Linked DNA regions of Coturnix japonica. The protein of the gene in region 3 purifies or fractionates together with the protein of the main gene of each other region. This does not show direct contact. Links are inferred from orthologs where the notes say so. Each region holds a gene or a part of one and is shown on either strand. Other genes may lie near its edges.

What was found.
Region 1: the proteins of SLC7A1 (region 3) and HS2ST1 purify together in Homo sapiens (co-immunoprecipitation; 3 studies listed by BioGRID and IntAct, counting the BioPlex papers as one, with this or other methods). This does not show direct contact. The link is inferred for Coturnix japonica from reciprocal best matches to the Homo sapiens genes SLC7A1 and HS2ST1.
Region 2: the proteins of SLC7A1 (region 3) and STX12 purify together in Homo sapiens (co-immunoprecipitation; 3 studies listed by BioGRID and IntAct, counting the BioPlex papers as one, with this or other methods). This does not show direct contact. The link is inferred for Coturnix japonica from reciprocal best matches to the Homo sapiens genes SLC7A1 and STX12.

Annotation. Positions count from the first base shown.
Region 1 is NC_029523.1:13,823,470-13,831,123, forward strand, and holds the end of HS2ST1 (heparan sulfate 2-O-sulfotransferase 1), read right to left. Parts: intron 7,387-7,654; coding exon 7,229-7,386; intron 5,353-7,228; coding exon 5,126-5,352; 3' UTR 3,043-5,125; downstream 1-3,042. UniProt on the Homo sapiens protein: Catalyzes the transfer of a sulfo group from 3'-phospho-5'-adenylyl sulfate (PAPS) to the 2-OH position of iduronic acid (IdoA) or glucuronic acid (GlcA) within the heparan sulfate (HS) chain and participates in HS biosynthesis.
Region 2 is NC_029538.1:1,328,880-1,337,285, reverse strand, and holds the start of STX12 (syntaxin-12), read right to left. Parts: upstream 4,769-8,406; 5' UTR 4,693-4,768; coding exon 4,581-4,692; intron 3,762-4,580; coding exon 3,692-3,761; intron 3,262-3,691; coding exon 3,162-3,261; intron 2,026-3,161; coding exon 1,888-2,025; intron 1,452-1,887; coding exon 1,408-1,451; intron 1-1,407. Other genes in the region: guanylate-binding protein 1-like, read right to left, coding at 6,582-6,797, 6,930-7,196, 7,261-7,473, 7,545-7,825, 7,897-8,139, 8,213-8,397. UniProt on the Homo sapiens protein: SNARE promoting fusion of transport vesicles with target membranes. Together with SNARE STX6, promotes movement of vesicles from endosomes to the cell membrane, and may therefore function in the endocytic recycling pathway.
Region 3 is NC_029516.1:156,902,911-156,911,109, reverse strand, and holds the start of SLC7A1 (high affinity cationic amino acid transporter 1), read right to left. Parts: upstream 4,454-8,199; 5' UTR 4,426-4,453; coding exon 4,371-4,425; intron 4,347-4,370; exon of another isoform or gene 4,214-4,346; intron 2,920-4,213; exon of another isoform or gene 2,801-2,919; intron 28-2,800; exon of another isoform or gene 1-27. UniProt on the Homo sapiens protein: High-affinity, low capacity permease involved in the transport of the cationic amino acids (arginine, lysine and ornithine) in non-hepatic tissues.

The DNA.
Region 1 (7,654 bases), on a different chromosome or scaffold from region 3:
CCTCTTCCAGTGATGGGAGTAAGGAAAAGTCTACTTGCAAAAGTAAAATTGTAAACCCACAAGAGGAAGCTGCTGAGTAATTGCACTGTGGTTCGTAATCATCACAGCTGACAACCAAGTATTTAGGAACTATCGCATTAGGAAACTTGGCTGGGACAGACGATTGTTCAGCTCCATAGCGCATGCAGTGAGGAATGTTTATAGGGTAGTGTTTACAGTACGCAGCAGAAATCCTAAACAGTGTGGTACCCACACTCACTATATTTTCTTGTTTGAAGTGCTTGCCTACAAAACGCAAACTGCATTTCTATTCTGCTCAAGATCTTACACCGCACTCATCACTGCAGTAACAGAGCATCTTCCAGTCCCACAGTCATCTGTCATGTCGTTTGTTCTCGCAGGCAGAGAAGCAGGTATGCATCAATCCATTGTTTTAATGCCAATTTTCTGTTTGGTTTTAATATTAAACAACTTTCCATCGACGCTTCCCGCACAATGTATGCCCTCTGGAAAGCTATATTTCTAGCCAGAAAGCTCAATGAAAATTCTAAAGGTTTACTTATAAATGTATTTGATTATAGCTATATGAAATGATTACAGATGAGCCACACTGCAGCTCACTCCTCTCCTCCACAGTCACAATAGCTGCAAAAGAAGTTCACAATGCTGCATGACGACGGGCTCCAGAAAAAGAACATTTCTTGCGAATGTAACGTACAAATATTAAGACAGGACACCAGAATTCTTTTTTTTTTCCCCTTCCCACTGGGCGTTTTATTTTAGAGCATTTGCATTAGGTAATCAACTGAAACACTTCAACAACAGAAAGCTGGCAGCATAATAAGGAAAAATGGAGATTATTTCTCAAACAGCTGTGACAAAATGGTTTCAAGTTGGAACAGTATTGCACAAACAAACCAATTTACTGAGAGTGAGAGGGAGCGAGCATCTTCAACATGGATCGTGAGGAAAAAAGGCACTATTTAGCTGTGTGTGTATTTAAAAAGAAAAGAGTCATGAAGAACAATCCATGTTTTTCAAAATTACATTCAGTACTACTTCAGAAATGCTCACAAACCTGTCTTTTTCTTTTTTCTTTTTAACAGAAGCTACAGAAAGCTGCTGATGTGGATACAAGACAGTACAAGGGTATAAACATGTATAATTATGCTCCAGAAAAGTCTTCACGAAGAGGGCTCTTCCTATAAATACTGCTGCAGAGGCTACCTAGTTGCATAGGCTCAAAGTAAAGGATGCAGCCATGCAACTCAGTAGCGCTACAGTTTCCTTATCTCTAGTAGTCATAAAATAAGCTCTAATTTCGAAGAGCTAAATTGGCAGTGCATCTGAATCAGGCTTTTCCACCGACTGCAAAGCAGCACAGTTCAGTCAGCATCATCCATAATAACTCTTGTCACACACTCATTTAGCAACACTAGGTAATCTTAATGGGAAATGTTAACAGAATTATAACAGAAAACAACTGAATTCTCCCTGATATTAAAATAGGACTGCTCTGAGAACATGAACAAGGAAACGTGCATTCCTGGAACACAAAAATAGCCACGTATCTTCAGAAAAGTTAAGTACTCAGAGAAAAGGCATTTCAAACAGCCTGGATGGACTGCTTCTTCCTTTCTCATATTGTATAGCAATCATTTTCTGTGCCTGTTTGAAAATGAAGCTATGATCATTCCATTAAAGACTGTAAGAAAGCAAATCCAGAATGAACTGGAATGTATAAACATAGGACATCCTATACCCTAGAACTGTGCCTGTTCATAGATGCACAGGAACACAGGAATGAAATTCTTGTTGCATGGATGCAGAATCGCTATGGGAAGGAGCAAAGAACACTGTTGCCCTCCAATCAGCACTGCCCAGTATACGTCAAGTGCTCCAGGCATGCTGGAGTTATGGCTATGTAGTTGTCGGCACAGCTGAACCAAGTGCCATATACTGACAACCATGAGTTTCAACAGGGCTAGAATTCTGCACAGAATCTGAATGTTTGTTTTGTATGAGAAGTACATAACAGTGTAACAGGATCTACTCTCAACTGTAATTTTGAGGATTACAGTTTCACCTTTCTAATGAACTCAGCCCAGCAAAAAAAAAATCAAATCTCACTCTGCTGTGCAGAGTCTACAGTGACTTCAGTTAAGAGATCTGCGTTCAGTAGGCTGCATAGTAAGTCTACTGAACCTGCAAAGCAGAAGTCTATGTATTGCTGCTTTACATGTTAACTTGTTAAGGGGAAATGCACAAGATAAACTCCGTTCATATACTGCAAAATATTTTTAATACCAACAGACAGCAGGTTATTCATACAGCTTAAAGCTCGTTTTCCTAATCTCTCTGCTTTTAGGAAATCAAAGTTGGGCAGTTCTTATTTCAAAAGAGTCCAAAAAAGTCCGTGGTTGACAAGGTGGCAGCACTAGACACAGAAGCAGCCTATCTGCCTCCTTTCAGTGTTCCACAGACAGCGATGCATTCAGAACACAACTAAAACGATTACATTGTACATTTGTAGCTACCATTTCTTTTTAAAAAATACTTAAGCTCATTTTCCTCCAACCTGTCAGTTCACAGCAAAGAATAGGAAGTAAATCAAATCTCTTACTATGAAAAATATATATTGCTCTTTAAAGTACAAAATAAAATGCATTTTTCTGCTGTTACTGAAGACTCCTTTCCAAAACCTTAAATCCTGGGGTGAACAAGAGAAAAAAACACCTTAAAATTGCTTATGAAATAGATTTCCATAGATTGAATAGGCTTTGCCTACTGTTTTCTTGTCAATACAGAAGTATTTGTACAAATACCTTCTTCATTACTTCGGTGAATGTTGTATATTTTCACTTAATAAACGCTCCTGTTCTCTTAAAAGGGTGCTCTTCTGAAAAATTCTGAAGACAACACAAGAAGGTAAAGAAATCCAAATTATAATGAAGGAAAACAATTTAGTCATTACATCTAAAATAGAACTATCTCTTCGTAGATAATCTTCATGGGGATTATAAATATTCCTTTAATTTTATAACAAACTTTGACTCCTCAGCTCCTTCCTGTAGCTAGGAAACACGTTTCCATGTGTGAGCACGTTCCCAAGCATGTTGGTATTATTAATGACGTCAGTAGAAAAGAACTGGAACAGGAAATCTTATACGGGGTTCACACTGTATCAACGGTAAAGCTACCAGAAGGAACTTCCCTGATTATCTGGGAGGAACAATGAGGTGTATTTTTGAAATTCAAAAAGAAAATGCAAGAAAACAAAGAAAACACAAGACGGACTTGACAGTCTCTCATTATCCTCTCTGTAAATGGACTGTTGCTTTTGGCTGCAGACACCCAGTTCACAGACCATTTTCCATTTCCTTTGTTTTCATTACAAGAACAAGCTGGCTAAAGAAACTCCACTTGGTAATTTTAAACTAAGCCTTCAGCATCATCCCTTAGGAATTAAAACTTCCACAATTCCAGCCCCCTCCTTTTTCTTTTTTTTTTACTCCTAACTTTGTCTCCTCTGTGCCTTCTCTCCTATCAAACTCCATGAAAAGCACTTTAAGAAAAGGCAGGTGTAAGATGTGTAAATACTCGTATTTCAGAAAATCCAATAGGAAACAAATTCTTATAGTCCTCCACTGCTGTTTGCTATAATGCAGTGGCCCCAAACATCTGTTCTCAAATTTCAATTTACTTGATCTACCAGGTGTTTCACATTGTTAATAACGGCAACTCACAAATTTACAATAGTCACATAAGGCAGTTACATAAATACAATTATGTCAAGTTCACTGCATCTCTCTCCACCAGACTACACATCACATTTTGCTTCTTTTCCTCTTAATATAACAAAAGGATGAAAGCTACATTTCCGTAAAGAGAATCCCTGGACAACATTCTAGTTTTAAAGTCATAGAGGTCACTGAAGTGCATTTCTGCAATATTCAACAGTTGACTCAACCAGGAAGTATATGCGATGCCTTTTTACTTTACACATAACAGAACTGGTGCAAAAAAAAAAACAAAAAAACAAAAAAACAAAAACCAACCAAACAGAAAAAAACCCCACTTCAAACTAGTTACTTTAAACCTTTTGGTCCAAATACATAAAATAAGCAGTATTTACAGCATTTTACTCCTTTTGTAAATGCAATGCTTTAAAACACATTATAAAGCACCTTAGTAAAAATATTCTACAGGTAAAAGTATTGAAGTAGTAGGAAAACCCTAACCATACCACAGCTCACTAATGGAGTCATAATATGGATTCACCAATACCTCAGCTTACAATAATTACAAAGAATCCATGGAGAAACTTGATACCGATTTTGCTATTTTTATACCACTGTGTAAGTATTGACTATAACTGCAGACAAAACCAACTTTCCTTGTGGTTTTCCCAACCTCAGTCCACCGCTTGGTGGTGGGTATAAAAAACAACAACAAACAAAACCCCACTGCTCCGATTCTTTCACTTTTTACAATGTCAGTGTGGAAATGATGTTTTAACACTAACGATTAGTCATAATTTTTTTTTAATAAAACCACAAATATAAATATGGGCAATTCCAGCGGCAGCAGCATTTCTCAGCAGAACATGATTAACTATCCCAATCCATACCGTGTGATGTGATTCACAAAAACAAAGCACAGATGTCAACCGGTTATTAACACTACTCATATAGTATACAACCAAGATTTCCATGTTGAAAGCTGGGAAAAATGACTTCCTCTTCACAGAAGTATAAATGAAAATAAACTGCTCTGAAAATTAAAAAAGAGCATTAACAGAAGCATTATTTTTTTTTTCCTTTATGTTTTCAACTAGAGCTGCTGTGTGTTAATCGCTCCAAATTAAAGTGAAGATTTCCTCAGGTAAAGGGTATTAACTCCCACTGAAAGTATTAGTTAGATAAAAGAGGTGAAGCTTTTGCTTCTGGATTACCAACACAGTCAGTCAGTATCCATTGCCCTGGAGGTGATCCACAGCCCACTCTTCTCGGACCTATAGAGAAACATCTTGGAGGTCTAACAAGCGATCTAGTTTCCACGGCTGAGGGCTAAGATGACGATGTGACCAAAGATTTAGGTCCGTATATCTAAAAGTATCGCATTCTTAGTTTGATTTAGGGTAAATCTTTTCATAGAAAAAGTTTTGAGCCAGGATATACAATTCTCCATCTTTTTCCCGAACTGCGTGTGCTCTGACAAACTGAAACTGCTCCAGTGCAAATTCATAGAACTCATTCTCCATTTTCCAGATTTCAGACTGCTGTAGCTTGGCAATAGTTTCTTTTGTGGGAAGTTTTTTCTCAGTTGTTTTCCTAAGATGAGACTTCTTTCCTAAACGCAAAATGAAAGCAATAACTTCACTTTAAAGTTCACGTGATGAAAAAATGTAAACAGCCCTTTTGTTTACAGAGTTGTACGCTCTCAGTGTGCCGATAAACTGTCCTAGAAGTGACACAACTTAATCCGGAGTTTATTGATGCAATATGAGGGACTGGAACATTGCAGTCTCTCACTAAATGTTAATGAATTTTGAATCGGTTCTTACAATTCTTTCTTCTTAGCCTAATACACCCAGCGAATGAACATTTCATTCAAGGAACAGGATTACTTCACATAATGTACTTGGAGCAAGATTAATCCTACAGAATTAATTATTTAGATGTTAATCTGGTATCAAATGTTAAGAGTTTTACAAACTGCAGAGCCAGATACTTCTCTCATTAGGGAAAGATGACAAAAGTGATGACAGTACTTTCCTTAAGAAGAACTATCTGTTGCTTTATATTAAATTCAATTATATTACATTTGCCAATACTACATAAGTTGCATGGCCAGCTCCCAGAAAGTGAGCTGCTATCTATATAACATCTCATTACAATAGGAGCACTTGGACCTTCATATCCCAATTAATCCAATGGTTTGGGGAAACAAAACAATCTTGCACTGAGAATGCTTTCATGTAGGAAGAAGAATTCACAGAGAACCTGAGCTGCAAATACTGTGCGAAGGACAGCAGTCTGTGTGCTGGCAAAAGGTGCAGAGAAAAGTCACAAAGCCAATCAAAGACGTGAAAAAGTTTCAGCAGAAGAAAGGACTCTGGTCAGAATTCTTCAGCACTTTCCCCCGCCCCCAAGATTCTTGTCAGAGAGTTGTGGCGAGTTTCTGAGCACTTTGTAAAATCCAGATGATGGAAGAAAAACTCTCCAAAGAACAAAAGCTACCCTCCAACATGCATTTCGCTCACTGCTGGGAACTGATGATAACCAATAGCGATGACTGCCATATCCTTGTCCTATTCTTACACATTTCTGCTGATGTGAGCTAATGGCTGCCTCCAGAAACCAGGTACAGAGTTTAAAGTATTCATGAGCTGTATGGATATTCAGTCTGAAGCAGAAATCCTATGATACACCCTGTATAGCAGCATTCAGGGTTCTCCACAAAACTTATTGTTTCTGAATACGATGTATAGAATTTTTCATGTTAACTTTCCACAGTTTACGTGATACTGCTTTGCTCTCTGTGTCCTGGTATTAACTAAATTATCCAGAGGCAGCCTTCAAAACTTCTTCTGCATTATCAGTAACTGATTTAAAAATGCTTGAGCTAAAGAGAAATTACTTCAGTTTTTGAAATTGCTGCAATGAAGCAAATTTAAGGAAACCACTTGAAGAAAAAACATCTGGTTTTGTGTTTAAAATTCATTTTCCTTCCACTTCGTTACTTGAAGATCTGAATTTTCATTCTGAACACAGGTGCGTTTTTGTTGTTGCTGTTTCTGAAATGAAAACCCATCTAGAACAAAACTCACCTTGCACTGTTAACTAGGTTGAACCAAGAACAGAACTTCAACAGGGCTTCCTAGGAAACAAAAACCTTCCACTACCAACCACTTCACATAACTGAAACCCTAGCGAGACCCTTCAGAAGTGTTCTGACAAACACCTGCCCCAATTTCCTAAGTATGTAATTTGAGTGTCTGTGATTTGCAAACGTGGCACACCTGATGCAAGTGCTTTTACCCCAATCTCAGTGTTACAAATTGTATAAGACAGAGTTTTCGTTACAGAGTTCCTCTCTTCTGTGGAACATCGTTCAACTGGCAAACTTCATGGACTTTTAAAACTATTCATGTTGATTTAAATAATTCACATTTTCAACAGTGATAAGAGGATGAAAGGGATGTAGAAATCAACCATTTAAATACCTGTCCTGTACAGTTCTGTGGCACCCCTGAAGAACCGGGGCAAAGCTGCCTCCAATAACATGATGAAATCTTCAAGCTCTTCAGTAACTCCCACAAGGAAGTATTCATTAATCAGGTTGTACTTGGCTTGTTCCAAAGCCCATCTGCTTCCCACATTCCTAAAATGGCAGAGCACAATTATAACAAGTTCTGCTGTAAGCCAACAATCCTTGTTCCCTAGATGACGTTTAGTTCATAACAGGACATTTGTATAAAAAAAAGGCAAGATATAACTATTTCTACCTTTACTTCCTTTCCCCATTTCTATTATCTGTGCTTGCATCTAAAGTCTCACAATGTATGGTATGTGGTTACCGTCTCTATTACTGCAATTTTTAGTGGATTTGCATTTTCTTCACTTTCATATTAGATACCACAAACCATTCT
Region 2 (8,406 bases), on a different chromosome or scaffold from region 3:
CACTTGCTATCTGCCATTTGGGGATACGAAGAAAGGGTTTAGTATGTTAATTCATTAATTTAGCAAGAACTACAAATTAAAGTCACACATCAAGAGAGATGTTTAGAAAAATCTCTGCACACCTACCCTGATGACAGTACTTCATAACTGCCACGTAAGTTACACACACTGATTACAGTGAAGGCAGTACCAATAGTACAAAGTCATCTATGTGTCCAGCACAAAAGAGTTCTTCTAGGGTAATATCTCCCTCTTCTTCTCGGAGGCAAACGTATCTGAAAGCACTGTAATATACCCAACAGGCACGTTGTGACATAACTCTACGTAGTAAGTTCCAAAGGCTCCAAGTGCAAAAAGAAATGACAATAAACTACTTGACTAGATGGGATACAGCAGAGACATTCAGGAATTCAGCTGAGTTGACAGGAGAATCTTCAGGTGTTTAGGGCACAAGTTTCTGATGTGCAGCACATAAGAACAATTTTAAATGCAAAGTAGTTGCTGCACGATACTGCATCTCACTGAGATGAGGGCCTCTGCATGAACAGGTATTTATGTGGCACCCCATGCAATAGTGAGCAAGACTTCAAACTCATCACAGCATCTTTATGACTGAACAAAATAGGGCTTTCACTTCTGACTCAGCACGTGGAACCTCAGGACTAACAAAGGGGGACACACACCAAACAACTGATCAGGAGAGGATGGATGAGACATTTCAGATAGGTGCCTCGAGTTAGAACATTGCAAGGTTTATACAGATAAGGCCTACATACTTCATCCTCTATTTCTCAGGCATGCATAGTGGAAACTGACACAGTAATCACAAATGCTTCTGCAGTGTCTTGAGTTCACTTGACTCACACTGTAGAGCTGATGCAACATTCTGCAAACTCATCTGCTATGCAGGCACAAAGTTACCGCAGAATCTATATATATGTCTGATATTTTATATCGATGTAGACTACGCATGTTCTGGTATCAATTTGTTATTTCTTCCAAGTTTAGAGCAGCCTCATCCACTGCTTTACAATGGCTCCATCTGGGCTCATAGATAACACCCAAACTCATAAAAGAAGTAAAGAGTTTTTCTTGTGGAAAGAGTTATGTGACAGAAAATACGTCTGGTAATCTTGTGCTCACAGTCCAGAACACCAGGAGGGCCAATTATCATATAACAGAGACTGAACTATTCCCAGTGGGACAGCCTACATTTCAACAGGGTCAAATACTGTCATGCATTTCTTTTCCTAAATGCTGTGTATTAGCACTGTAATAGCTGCATAGCATCCTTCTGTTTTTCATTCAGCTATAAAAGAGTTGTCCAAGATACAATATATCTATAACAATTTTAATTACACATAGGTTAAGAGTGTGCCCCGAGAATGCAAGAATGCAATTCTTTACCTATCAAATGAAACAAGCTGTTCTTCTCTGAACCGCTCATCAGCCTGGAATAGATAAATGAGGTGTTAATATTTCAGATCAGCAGAACTACCAACAAGCAAAATCAACAGGAATATACTGAAGAAAAAGGCATTTGCTGTCCAGAGACAGCATTGTCTCTTCAACTTTCAGATTTAACCTAAGGGAATTTAGACCAGATTTAGATTCATCTTCAGACTTAAATTCAGACTGTCTCAGCAAATCAGAGGCAGCTGAAAGGCAAAGACAAGAGTCTATTTACTCAGATCACTGATGTATCATCAGCATATCAAGATGTGTGCCTACTAATTACAACATCTGGAACAGCAAAACAACCTACTGAGGCCTCATTTGTGATCAGTAATGCATCAGTAGACAACCATGAAGCCAGTGGGCAAAGACAAGATCTCCAAAATGATTTGTAGTCCACCATATCACAACAGAATGCCTACAAATACTTACAGAGATACGGGAGCCAGCTCTTGCCCTTGCTACAGTCTCTTTTTCCTTCTCTGACACTTGCCTCTGTACTGCCTGGAAATTATTTAAGGCTGCAGAGAAATCATTCATTAAACGTTCTTTCTGAAGCCTCTGTTGACGCTAAAGAAACAAAAACAAACGTTCAGATATTACCATTCGTGTTACTGTAACCATCAGACTCTCCAAAACATAAAATGAAAAGTAAATGCTAACATGTAAGTGATCTTCCCAGCATTCTGGGGTAGAAACAGGAGAAAAAAAAGCCCATCACACTTTCATGTTATACCAAATGCTCTATGCTCTACCTACTGTGGAACTGCCCTGTGCATGTTTCCCTGGCATGTCCCCTTTGAAGGTTGTGACATCCAGTACATGGGAAACAAGTAGCTGAGAAAAAGACTTGACCCAAGGACAGTCAGTACTACAGCTGATTCTTACAGTTGATTTTCCACTACAGAAATTCTTCAGCTTCACTCACTTACAGAAGTCACTGCCACATTCAGCAACATGGACTTTGCTTACCAGAGTGAGATTAACTGAAAAACACTTTCTGAACAAATACACGAAACACTGCCGTATTTACAACTGGTATTTAAACCTTTAGATAGAGAATTGGATCTACTAAGACAACATCTGCTGACCCATATCCACAGATCATCCCATAACAGTATCACAGGAGCAGGTAAATCAGTATTGTGGCAGTGATTTAAAGTGGAGACAGAAGACTCCAAAGGCAGAGGCCCATCCCTTCCCTTCCCCACAGGAAGGGATGCCCTGAAAGACTGTTTTGCCAGAGACAAAGTCACCTCAGCAGGTTTCTTTAAATGTGAGTAACCTGAGTCAGCTCCTTCCCTCCCCCACCTTCAGTTCAGGCCATAAATCCCGTGGAAGGAAAAGTTTTTTTGATGTAATTACAATTCATACTGACATTCAGCTTGCACTGAGTTTTTATCCTAAAACATGGTCTCGCATCACCAGATTGCTCTGTAAACAAGATTATTTTCTCAGAAATAGAACTACATACTCAGCTTTCCCCAAAGTTTTAGAGCTATCTGCTGCTGATAAATGATTCCCCCTCAGCATCATACAGTCAGGATGTAGCTGACTGAGTTCGTCTTCCCACTTCAACAACTGCTTTCATTGCAGAAAGCTGCTGTATCTTCAGCTGTGCCAGTTTAAGCTCCGTGAAATTGCACTCTAAGCCAGCTTATCAAGTAAGCAACTAAAGAAAGCTCTAGAAAATTCTACCTGCATACCTGTTCAGAAGCAGACAGAGGAAGTGGTAGAGATCCCAGTTCTTTGAGATACTCATTGGTCGCTTTGGCCAAGCTGTTTGCAGAGTGCTGTAGCTGTTGTCTAAAACAATAGTTCAGAAATAGTTACACAGGTTTCTTCCAAAAAGCAACCCAAGCATTTCAATCTTTGCAATAAAGACCAAGTAAGGTTTCTGAGCTCAAACATCTTTAAGAACTCAGATACTGAATTCCTGCAGATCCATGAAACTTCACAGAGAAGAATGATACAGATTCAGCTCTGGGAAATGCAAGGCCTTCCCCAGTCTTCCAGCTCTTATGTTTTCCAACAAGGTTGTGATTCAAAGCTGCTGGTGCAAAGGATCTACTGAAGCAACACTTCCATTAGCATCACAACACAGGAAGCCATTCACATACAATTAAGTTTATATTAAGTTTATGCAGTAAAGCATCTCTCCAAAGTAACTCCCTCCTTCTAAGAATAAAGGTGAAAATAAAAGAGCCTAAACAGTGTTTATCCAATTCATACTTACAAGTTTTCCTGCAGTTTGCTGGAGTCCTGCTTGGTTCCCAGCTGGCTCATCAAATTCTTTATCTGAGCAGCTGAAGACAAAGAGACCACAAGATTAATATGAGTTCTAGTGTATTTTATCCCTACTTTAAGCTAGAAAGCTTCTCCAGTGAAGGACCTCTCTCAACATTTTGCTTAACTCAAGCTGATAACACAACACTTAGACTCTGCATTTCAACATCCCCATTAAACTGTTAATATACCTGCAAGGTAACCACCCCTTCCCAGCCTCAGAAGGGAATGTCTGAACAGATGAGCCAGCTGACTCGCTGTATTCTGCAGCTTCACGCTCTTTAACGTCAGTAAGAGATGCTGGGAGCATCGTGTAGGACAAAAGTCCACCTGGTGGGCTCCTAGCAATTCTCCTGCTCCCTCAAGCAGCAAGGCAAGACCAAGAAGAACCACTTAACACTGTTCTAAAGGCAGCTGATTTTCCCCTATAGGGAAAGAGAAATAAGGAAGTGCTCAAGGCTTCAGTTTCTCTTCTCCTCAGGCCCTTTATCAAACACACAGTACAGTTAATGACTGTAATGGTAAGTCAGCTGCTCTGTGTGCTCCCACCCACCCTGACTGAAGCTGTAAGACACTTGTTTCACCTCCAATTGGCAGCACACCGGGAAAGGGCGGCTGCTGGGCATGAGACCCGGCCATAGCATCCTAAGAGGAGCTGAACTAATTAAAGGAGGAAGCGAAAAAGAGAGGAGGAGAGAAAGCTTTATGACATTCACTCCTCTCAGCAGCACAGATGCTGTTTCCCCAGCCATCCCTCCGCTGTCACAGGCAGCAATGGAGCCCCGCCTCACCCCGGGCCCTCAGCAGCTCCCACCGCGGCCCTGCCCGCCGCTACTCACTGTACTGAGCGATGCGCTGCACGTTGGCGCTGCATGTTTGTATGATTCCACTAAAATCCCTCGGCGGGGCCGTCGCTCCGGCCCGATATGGATCCAGCGGCCCGTACGACATGACCGGCTGAGTGACGGCTCCTCCGGGCCCGGCTGCCAGCACCCCGCCGCTCTCTGCGCATGCGCCACCGCTGCTGACCGAGCGCCCGCCCTAAAGCGAGGGGACGAGGCCTGCGCATGCGCGGTCGAGGCCTTTGGTTGCCATGATGACGGGAGCCCGCCTTAGAAAGGGATGGAGGCCGCATGAACCAGAACATGGGCCTAATCTGACCCAGCCCTGTCCTGCTGTCATTATAAACTCACCCCAGAGTGGGATTGCTACACACCAAAGTAAAATCTGCCCCCAAAAGTGGCACTGGGGTTGCCTCAGGGTGAGACTCCATTTGGTACTGAGGTGAAGTCTCGCACTGTCCCACACTTTCACCCACAGTTCTGCATCCTGCCCCCAAATTCAACATCTCCCAAATCCCAAATTTTCACCCTAAATTCCCCGTCACCCCATCAAGTCTGCGTTACCTTTAAATACAAGGTTCCCCAAATCCCCTTTTACTCAAATCCCACAGCTTCACCCCAAATCTAGCATTGCCTCAAATCCCTCCTTCCACCTCAGATCCCACAGCTTCAACTCAAGTCCCACATTGCTCTAAATCCTACAGCTTTACTGTATTGTAATGTACTGCATTACCCAAATCCCACGGCTTCGCCCCAAGTCTCACATTGCTCCAATCCTTCAGCTTTATCCCATATCCCCCAGTATCATCCCAAGTCAAGTCCTAAATCCCACAGCTCCACCTCAAGTACTGCATTGCTCAAATCCCCGTCTTGCTCTGAATCCTCCAGCTTTGCCCCGAGTCCCGTGTCACCCCATAACCCTGTTTCATCCCAAATCCCCCAGCTTTGACCCAACCCCCCTTTGCCACAAATCTCATGGTTTCACCACTGTTCCCCCAGTTCCATTCAACCCCCTATGGGATACTGCAGCTTCTCCTGCCCCTGCTGGTCAATGATGCCCAGGCTTTGTTACACCAGGTGCTGGAGAGCAGCAGTGCCAGCATGAAGATCCAGGCATTTTTGTGGCTGTTGCCATCAGAATTGCACCAGAATGCCCCCCACAGGTTCCCAAAATGGACAGGGAGCCCTGGTTGAGGCTGGCCAGGTGGTTCATCAGGAAGGATTTGCCGCTGTGATAAGGCTCCTAATGGCCACCACCACCAGGGGCTGGACCACCTCCTGTAGTGCTGTGGGGTAGAAACAAACACCCCACACTTTATCATGTGCCCTTCTGTATGATGTCCTATGGTATGGAACATCCCTTTGGCCAGCTTGGGTCCCTGGGTGGAAAGTGCCACAAGGTGGTGCCACGAGGAGACAGAGCGAAGTGTAATTACTGATAGCATCCAAGGTACAGGTCTCATAGTGCAAAGATCATTACTATGTTGAACACAAATACCATGTTAGTTTCTCAATCAGCAGTTTTAACATATTGAAAGTCAAGATCATAAGGCACAGCAAAATGACATCTTCAGTCCCACTCCTAGAGATGGTAAACAACGTGACAGACACGTAAATAGCAAGTAAAGTGCTAAATGATGTTGTTCCAAAAAAACACTGGTATATCTGTGCCAAAAATACCACAATAAGTAGCAATTATCAAGCTCATAACACATGGTATGGTATATTCCTTTGGCCAGTTTAGGTTAGGTATCTCAGTTCTGTCCCCTCTCAACTCCTTGTATCCCTCAGCCCTCCTCATTGGCAAGGTAGAAGGAGAAGCTGAGAAACTGAAATGTTCTTGGCTCTGTACAGAACTGCTCGGCAGCAACTAAAATGGCACTTTGTTATCAATACTGTTTTTCTCCTAAAGCCAAAACATAACATCAAACCAAATGCAATGAAGGAAAATTCAATGCCGTCGCAGCTGAAACCAGGACACAGGGATGGATGGCTGGGCTAGAACAGGTGCTGCACTGCATTGCTGGCAATACCCACTACTTTGCCGACCACACCAGGCAGGAAGAGTGAAGCCACATTGCCCAGGAGGCTCACAGCTGACCCGATCCATGAGCGTTTCTTAATTTTCTTCTTCTCCTCCTGCAGCCGCTCAATCTGCCGCTCTGCTGCCTTTGCCTCACGCTCGTAACCCTCCTCCATCAGCCTCCGATGTTCCTGTGGGACAGATAGTGCTGCTAGTACCACTGCACGATGCCACAATGCATCCACAGCGCGCTGGTACCACTGCACAACACCATACAGCCACAACATGCTGGTTCCACCATGCAATGCTGGCACAGTGCTCACCTTCAGGCGGTGCTCCAGCATGCGGTCCTGCTCCTTCAGCCGCAGGCGCTGCTCCTCCAGCAGTCGCTGCTCCAGCTGCCTGCAGTTCTCCTCCAGGCTGCGCTGCTGCTCCTTCAGGCATGACATCTCTGCATCCCTGGCTGCTGCCTCCTTGGCTGCAGCTGCCTCCCGCTGCTGCTCCGTCATCACCAGCCATGCATCGGTAGCATGCAGCATTTGTGCCAGCGGCTCCTTCTCCCGCAGGAACACCTCCAGCACTGCATCTGCCTGATGGTACAGCTATGAGGCACCGCCTGCACCACCACACCAGGCTCCATCACACCCCACTCACCTTAATACCCTTTTCAGGCCACTGCCGGTACTCATCCAGCACACTGCACAGATCATCCTGGAACCGCTGTGCACCACCCGGTGCTGCGTAGTCCCCACAATGTATGCGGAGCTCCACGTCCTGCCACAGGTTCTTCAGCACCTCCTGGCAACGCTTCTCCGATGCCTTCTCATTGCTTAAGCAGAACTCCTCCTTGGCTGCCTCCAGGTCTCGCTGCACCACCAAAACAGGTCTGAATCGAACTGAAATCACCCCCAGAACCCCACAGCGTGACAGTGACTCACCATCAGCTGACACTGGTAGGTGCGCTCGTTGTCAGCAAAGGCACGGGACAAGAAGAGGGTGATGGCGTGGCGCTCCCAGCGCTGGTGCACATCTATCAGCGTGGCACGCGAGTCTGTGGGCAGCACCAGGTCCTTCTCCATGCCCTTCTTGTATTCAGCTACCGCTGCTGCCACTGCTGCAGTGTTTTCAGTCCTTGCCAGCGCCGTCACCGCGCTCTCCACACAAGGCACTTCACCTTTTGCAATGGTAGCCACATATTTCTCTGCCAAGGAAGCCAGCACTGCGGGAGACACCACCAATGAGACACATCACACCCACGTGCCACCCCATCCTCATGCCACCACCACTCACTGGTGCCCGTCACCTGGCGCCCGCCTGGCAGCTCCTTCACCGGCGCCTTCTCCCAGATGTATTTGCAGAAGGCATCCGCCTGTTGTCGGAAGCGTGGCTGCAGTTCATCCTCCCGCAGCTCCTCCAGCCGTGCCAGGTTTGCCTCAGACGTCGGCCTCTCCAGCACAAACAGCTTGCGGTGTATGAAGAAGTCACACAGGCAGCGCCGTGTCTCATTGTACTCCTGCACCTTGCGCCCGTGCCCTGCATTGCCAACGTCATCAGCAAGGTGCCACCCCCCATAGGGACATATGGTAACACACGGTGATGACTGTACCGGGCTTTAAGCGCAGAGCATCCTCCAGGTATTCATCCTCAGTCAGCAGTCGCTCGCCATCCCGTAGCTGCAGTGTGAAGTCACGCACAGTCCAGACAAAGCTGGGGAAGACGCGGCTGAACTCAGCTGCTGGATCTGCATCCTCCACCCGCACGCGTATGTGATTCGTCAGCTCTGTCACCAGCCTGCAGGAC
Region 3 (8,199 bases):
TGGGTTAGGGTACCATCTCATGACTCCCTGTAATCAACAGGCAGAGAAAGGCACCTCTGGGTGTAAGCATATGCCACTTGAGGTGAGACGAGAAGCCTTATTCAGCTCCTCCAGGGCTCAGATTAACAGGCAGCTATGGAAACTCCAACAGCCCTCGAGACAAGAATTTGAATATAGAGACATCAGGAACAAAAACAAGGAATGATTGTTCTTGTAAGGAAATAACAGCAGTGTTCCTCAGAACTAAGAGAGGGTTTTGAACAAAGCTTCAGATGTCAGGATTGTGCGATATTGATCTAACCCTTCAGAGCAAAGCACAAATATTTTGCTTCTGCTTTTCTCCACTTGCATCTCATATTCTCACTGCTTGTGTTGGAGCTTTCCTGAACTGAACAGATACTAGAGGCCAAATGCTCATCCTAATCTGAGACATTCATCAGAGACAAATCTCACTGAAGCTCATTCTTCAAATCCCAACAGGAGCTCAAATACCCACTGGTTTCCCTTCCAATTTGTGGCACCTCCACCCTAAGCCATTGCTGAGCTCTGGATGTAGCCTCTTCTCCGTGCTCACAACATTTTGCTCCTCTCTTTTCACTCTTGCATCAGATCACAGAGCCTGGAAGGTCCTGCTTACTGCACGAGTGGATGTACAACAGTACAGCATCTTTGCACTGCACAACTATATCAGCTAAATTCAGGTAGGGAATCTTTGCCACCTGAATGCCCATAAGCAGCCAGCAATGGTGGGCTCCTCAGCAGGTGCAAATGCAGCAGAGATGATGTGCATATAACACTCGGCCCTTCTCACCTCTATTAAAATGCCTGGCAACGTAAGACAGTTAAGCTCGCATACAGCCAGGAATAACATGAGTCAGGGCACACACCACTATTTAGTTTGAGAATATGTTCTCATGTAACAGCACAGCTTCCAGGGATAAATAAATGATCCGGTACAAGGGATTTTAACCAACCTGCATAAATCAGTACTAGGGACAAACCCAGCTACATAGAAAACCCATTGTTCAATTTCTTCTTATTAAGAACCTCTATGTGGTTTATCGCAAGCTTTTAGGAGGGAATGACTACCAAAAAGTCACTAAATATCCAGAATAGCACAGTTTTCTCCGTAAATAAGGCTAGCAATTAATTGACATGAAAATCCCAGCCACCAGCACTCCCAAAAATCCACAAACCACAGGCAACAGCAGAGAAACCTGCATCCAAGTTAGGGTTGGTCAATGGTATAGATGTTGACCTCCACGTGCTGTTCGACCAAGAGATTCAGGTATGTCTGTTCTGTATGTCCAAGCAGGCAGTGATATTGCAGCAACAGCACTAAAATGGGAGCGTTCAAATACCAGGATAAACTCACCCATAGTGTAAACAGCCACAGCTCTTCCCAGCAGCACTGAGGAACCCGAGAATCTCAGAAGTTCATTGAGATAAACATTCAGACATTTACTGCGCTGACATTTGCATGGGAGCTGATCCTTTTATAGTCAGTGGAAAGCAGCTCTCAGGTCGCAATTCATTTGGGCTCAGATGAATCATGCTGCAGGAATACCCACTTCTCCAGATGTACCATACTGGGAGATGGAGTTGGTAATCTTGGATGTAAAAGGCAGATCTGGCCAGACAGATGCTACCTTCATCATAGTGGGGTACCTCAGCTGGGCTGGTATTTACTTGAGTTGCCCCCAGTCGACTCAGTGCTGAAAAACTGGCCTAGATCTCTGCACCCCCCAGCCTCTCTGTTCTGCCACTCAGTACAACCAGCTTCCCATGCACATGTTTAAGTTGGCAGGACATCACAACTCATCCTCCAGGAGTGGGAAAGCAGCTCTACCACATCCCAGTCTGCTCCGCTGGCAACACCATAGCTTGGCCAATACAATTCTACCAGGGTTAAGCTGGCATCCACAGAGCACATCAGCAGCCAAAGTGAATCACCCTCTCTTCCTCCTGCCCCAAAATGAATGCAACTCACTATTGGACATCCCAAATATGGGCCAAGAGAAGAGAACAAAAGGTGTCGTTTTCTGCTCCCTGAATGCTTGGATACAACTGGAAGTGATGGTTCTGAGAGGCTGCATAGAAGCAATAACTGTAACGTGATCTCTGCCCTAATCCACCTGCACCGTACTTCTTCCGTATCTGAAAGGAAATACAGAACACCACTCCTTTTTGCTCTTACTCCTGCAAAGGCCGGACTCACCAGCTGCACCCAGCACCAGCTGGATTGGCACATATCAGCTCTCACACATCACATAACTTAAAGCAGAGCCACAGAGCTTCGGTGCAGCACCACACTGAGGTGAGTCCAACCTGAGATGTGTTACTAGACTGACACCGGAAAATGGAAGAATAAAATAGAGGGAGTGGCAAAGGTTTCAACAAAAGCACAGCTCCAAGCTGATAACGCTAATACCTGGCTAGATTAGAGCAAGAGTAACGTGCAAACTAAGGAGTACAATGCAAACATGTAATAACGCATTCTGACCCACATTCGCAACTGAATTGCTTTCAATTAGAAGCCTAGCTGGTGTCAGCTTCCTTTACAGCCCACCCAAAACCAGGAGTGCCTTCTGAATGTCTTCTCATTGATGGGCATGAGCCTACAAGCAGCCAGGCTCAAACATATCCCAGTGGAACAGTATGAATCAAGGACTGTACACCCAGTATTCATCCTGCTTAGGAAACAGGATTGCTTTGGAGCCAGCCTGATGAAGGCACTCAAGCAGTGGTGCACAGTAGAAGGTCTGTTTCCTTCTAATCACTCAAAATGCAAGATACTCACAAGCAAAGCAGGTTCTGAAGCACTGCAGCAATCAGAGGGCTCCTTTGCATCAGACTCAGCATTTGCAGCTATGCAGCCCACGCAATTACAGCTCCTTCTCCTTTTGCATTTTATCCTGTCTAAAAAGACATTGAGGCTGACTGCTGAAGGCAATGAAAGTCCACAGAGTATTTGGCAAGAATAGAAAGTTTCTGCCTGTTCTCCCCGAGTGGGAGGCAGGTGTTGAACACACTAACGCTGCTGGGAAGCTGGGTGTGTGTGTGTGTGTGTGTGCGCGAGTAGCCACGTGTCAGACATTTCACAATGCAGACACATGGTGAGAACTGAAAACCAAAGTGAAAAAAGCTTCGCTGTTACAGAGTTCAAACACGCTACTGTCAGAGCAGGATTCACCTCTTTTGCTTTACTCTTTCTGCATGCTGCATCTTGCTCAAGGAAAACCAGCACGGTGATGCCCAAGCCTCAATGGCAGAGTCAGCAGTTACTGTTTAGCTTGCAGAAAAGAAGCTCCAAGTGGGCCTCGCTGCAGCCTTCCAGTAATTGAGGGGAGCTTATAAATAGGAAGGAGACTAACATCTTAGAAGGGCAAATAGCGACAGGATGGTGGGGAATGGTTATAAACTAAAAGATGAGAGAGTTAGTTTAGATGGTGAATTTCTTCCCTCAGAGGGCAGTGAGGAAGGGAGCTGTGGGTGTCCCATCCCTGCAGGCACTCAAGGCCAGGCCGGATGGGACCCTGGGTGGCCTGAGCTGCTGGGAGGTGTCCCTGCCCATGGCAGGAGTCAGGGCTGGGTGGGCCGTGAGCTCCTTTCCACCCTAAGCCATTCTATGACAAAAAGAAGAAATCCATCAGCCAAGCCAGCTGCCCATGAAACGCTGACAGATGAATGGAAACCAGCCCCTTTCCTAACCACAGATGAGAACCAGCAGCAGGGCAGGCTGAAGACCAACAGACAGCAGGACCTCGTGGGGCGTGCTAGGAACAGGCACCTGGATTTTCTGTCAATTCTCAGCCCCTTCTGAAGCTTAAAAACAGACAGCGGAGCACAGAGCGGCTGGAGCGCTCCTGTGCATGGTACGGCCACCCAACAAGCGGCCGGGCTCCCTCCTCCTCACCGCTGGGGCCTTCAACTCCCAGCACAGCACGTCCCCGCCTCGCTACTCCCGTAGGGCACAGGGCCGAGCCGGGACACGCGTGTGTGATCTGTGAGCTCCCCAGCCCCGCTCGGGGGGCTCGGAGGGAGGCAGGCCGCCGGGCAGCCCCTACCGCAACCCGCGACCCCCAGTATTGCATCATGCAAAATGGATTCCACGCGTAGCCCGCACCGCCCGGCCCGAGCCCCGGCCCCATCCCCATCTCCATCTCCATCTCCTCCCGCAGCCAGGGCAGCCCCACTCCGGCCCCGCACTCACCCCCGGCCCCACGCCGGATTCGGGCTCACACGTCAGGCGTCCCGCACAGCCATAGCAGCGCCCGCTCCGAACCAACGCTTTACAGCTCCGGATCGGGCTCGAGCTCCGCCCCCGCCCCGCGATGAATGGGAGGCTCGGCCCTCCCAGCCCGCCGTACCTCCCTGGGTCGTTATGGAAGCGCTGGGAAGGTGTTTGTGGGGGGTGTCCGGCATCAGGTCGGGCTCAAGTGCTGGGATCACACCGGTAGTCTTTGCAGATGGCGGCCGCCCTTGTGGCTGGCCTGGGCCGCGATGAGTGAAGAGAGGTTGGGCCACATGTAAGATATATAATATCATTCATGCATGTAAATAACAAAACTACTTTTGTTTCTGTCATTTTTTATTGAAATGTTTTAAAAAAGCAACGGAAACATGGAAAGAGTGGGATATGTGGCCTTGTTTTTGTGACATTCACCTATCAGTGACAGTACCTATCAGTACTCAGGATGCTCAGGGCCCCATCCAACCTGGCTTTACACACCTCCAAGAATAGGGTCATCCACAACCGCTCTGGGCAACCTGTCCTAGTGCCTCACCACTCAACTGATCATTTTTGTGTCCCTCCTCTGGACCCTCTACTAAAGCTCAACACCTTTCCCGTGCTGAGGGCACAGGACTTTCAATGAATTCTTCTCCCAGTCTCTAAACATATCTGGGATTACCCTGATTTGCACCATCATGGAGCCATTAACCACAACGCTCCAGATGTGACTTTCCAACCAATTCCTTATCCACCAAATAGTCCACCCTTCAAATCCATCTCTTACCAATTTAGAGATAAGAGTGTGGTGGGGGACCATGCCAAAGGCTAATTTGACCAGTGTACCTGTAGAATTCCTTCTGGCTGTTTTTAATATTCCTTTCAAATTTCAGTTCCATCTGTGCCCTGGCTTTCCTAATCCCATCTCTGCATATCCAGCATCATCCCTGTGTTTTTCTCAAGTGACATTTCCACTGCCTGTACATGCACTTCTTTTCCCTCAGTTTTACCAGTAGGTCTGTGCCAAGTCATGCTGGTTTCCTCATTCCTTGACCTGCTTTCCTATTCTGAGCAATGGAGAGATCTTGCTCTCTCAGAAAGGCATCCTTTACTCCACTCCTTTACCTCTTAAGGACAGCCTCCCAGGGGATCTGATCCAGCAATTCATTCAACAGACTGAAGTTCACTCTCCTGAAATTACAGAATCACAGAATCACAGAATGACCCAGGTTGGAAGGGACCTCAAGGATCATGTAGTCCCACCCCCCCTGCCTGGCAGGGCCACCAAACATACACATTTACTAGATCAGGTTGCCCAGGGCCCGTCCAACCTGGTCTTGAACACCTCCAAGGACGGGGCATCCACAACCTCCCTGGGCAGCCTGTTCAGGGTCCTGACTCCACTGTTTGCCAGGCCCACATTCCTCAAGATCATGAACTCAATGAAGGTGTGGTCGCTGCAGGCTGGGCTGTTTCCAGTCTTGAAATCCTTTAATGATCTCCTCTGCACTGGTGAGCATCAGGTCCAGCAACACACTTGTCAGTCTGTCCAATATCTGAACCAGAAAGGTATCATCGATGTACTCCAGGAGTCTCCTGGATAGCAACAGTGTCCCCTTAATCAGATGGCCTGTAGTAGACCCCAGCTCCATATCTTTTCAACACCTTCCCAAGTGACATGAAATCTTTTTTTAATATATATTTTGTAATTTTCTGATTGCAGCTTCGTGTGACCCAGCTTCAAAGATCAGGAGAGGATAATCTGGTTGTATCATACCCAGTATCCTCTTTGTGATGTCCCAAATGCCGACCCCTGGCAGGTAGCAAACCACTTTAGAGAGGTCACCTGGGCATCAAATGGGTACGTCGGTGCTTCTCAGCAAAGAGTCTCCAATTACTAAGATCCTTTGCTTCTTTTCAGGCATTTAGACCTTCCTAATGTGGTCGCTCCTTTCTGGTTCTGAGCCTCTACGCACACCTTCTTTTCTCTCCCACACCAGAGCTTGAAATCTCCTGGTCAGTAGGACTTCAGGAGCAAGGGAGAGGCTTCTCCTTTTGCCCCATGCAGAGACAAAGTTTCAACCTCCTTCACCCTGCACGTGTTTACTCTCTGTCAGGTGGGAAGCCTGCTTATCTTCCTCCCCTGGTTGGGCCCCAAGACAGGGTAGTCTGTCTACCCACACCACCCCATGAGACCAGGCATCAGCCTCTCAGACTGCTGAATAACTCTCAGCCTGGCAACTTCCTCTCACAGCCTGTTCAGCTGCTCAGAAAGATCATCAAGTTGGGCACACCTGCACCCACAACACCCCTCACCTACCTCAGTCCCTTGTGTGATCTCCAGATTCCAGAGCTTCCCATGGCTGAAGGTCTGGGCAGCCCCCTTGTTCCTCAGAAGGTTCATCTGGGTGCATACGTCAGCCCAAAAAGGCTCTGGGCCCCTATCTGTGTTTTCTGCCCCAGCTTGCCTGCCATGCTGGGTGGTCAACCATTCCCATGCAGCCCCAGATTAAAATTATCACTAAAAAATCATGTAATCATGTTAAAAGCTTATGTTTTTGTGGGGTGACATTACTGGCTGTCCTGGGCTGTGTGCAGCTTGCAGGCTACAGGTTGGACACGTCTGATCTAGACCGATGTGCTGGTCCTGAGGGTTGTCCAAACAGACCTGTCAGGAAACTAGGATAAAGCAAACACATTAAGATACTTCCTTAGATCACTCTTTTGATCTCCAGTAATTCCAACTGAGAAAGAAATTATATCTTTGTATATAGTACATATAATACCCTTGATGTCCTTCATTTCCATTACGTTCTCCACATTCCCTTGATCCCTTGCAAAATGTTAGCATTTACAACATCCTGTGAGATACAGTTCCACTGTGTTGCCACACATAGCTTCAAATACAACATTTTGTTTCCTTTGAACCTGCTACTTGCTAGTTTTCCTCTTCCTGCCCTGGCAAAGACAGCGGACAACTGATCGCTGTATCTTTGCTGGCTTTTATATGCCTTTCTCACATATATCTCTATCGTAGATCTTTCTTTCTAATCTGGAAAGTCATGACTTGATCATCCTCTTTACAGAAGATGCTTCATGCCAGTGCCCTCCTTGAACTTCCTAGTCTCATTATGAGGAAGCTGCCCGAAGTACACCAGGTGACTCAAACCCTACAAAGACCTGAACGCATCTCAACTACGCACACAACAGTCCCTACTTGTACCACCCTCCAAGATGGCATGTCTACACATGCAATAGTTGCCCTGGGCCATAGCAGTGCCAGGCATCACTAATAGTGTGGTATTCACTTCATCTATACTTGTGAGTTGATCCGGGGAACATTAATGGAACTTGGTCATAGAATCATAGAATCACCAAGTTTGAAAAGGCACCTGTTTGTAATATGCAGTGTAAGTCAAATGAACCTTGATGATCTTTTTATCTCTCTTCCTTCTCTTGCTTAGCTGTGAGGGTGATTTTCCCCTTTCCAAGTTAGCGATAACCTTTGGCAAATAAAATCACTGAAAAATAATTACAAATGGATATTTCCCTTTCACTGAGAGGACTGTCTTTCCTGCCATGCCCAGAGTGATACTCTCATGCTTTCTGGTTTATTCCATTCCTTTCTTCTCTGCTTGGGCACTGATGAATTTAGCATTAGTTCAGCGACCCAGGAATAAAAGGAAGCACATCAAACAAAGGCGATTCAATAGGAGCTATAGATTCAATAGACCAAGAGGTCAGCTTTGAGTTGGACAGTGAATTTTACAGTCTCATCAGCCAGATTTTATTCCTGCAGTGTTGAAAACAAGATATGCCACTTAGTAAGATCATAGAATCATAGAATCGTAGAATTCACCAGGTTGGAAAAGACCTTGAAGATCATCAAGTCCAACCGCAGCCTAACCAGAACCCTAACTCTAAAAACCCTCCACTAAATCATATCCCTGAGCACCACATACAAACAG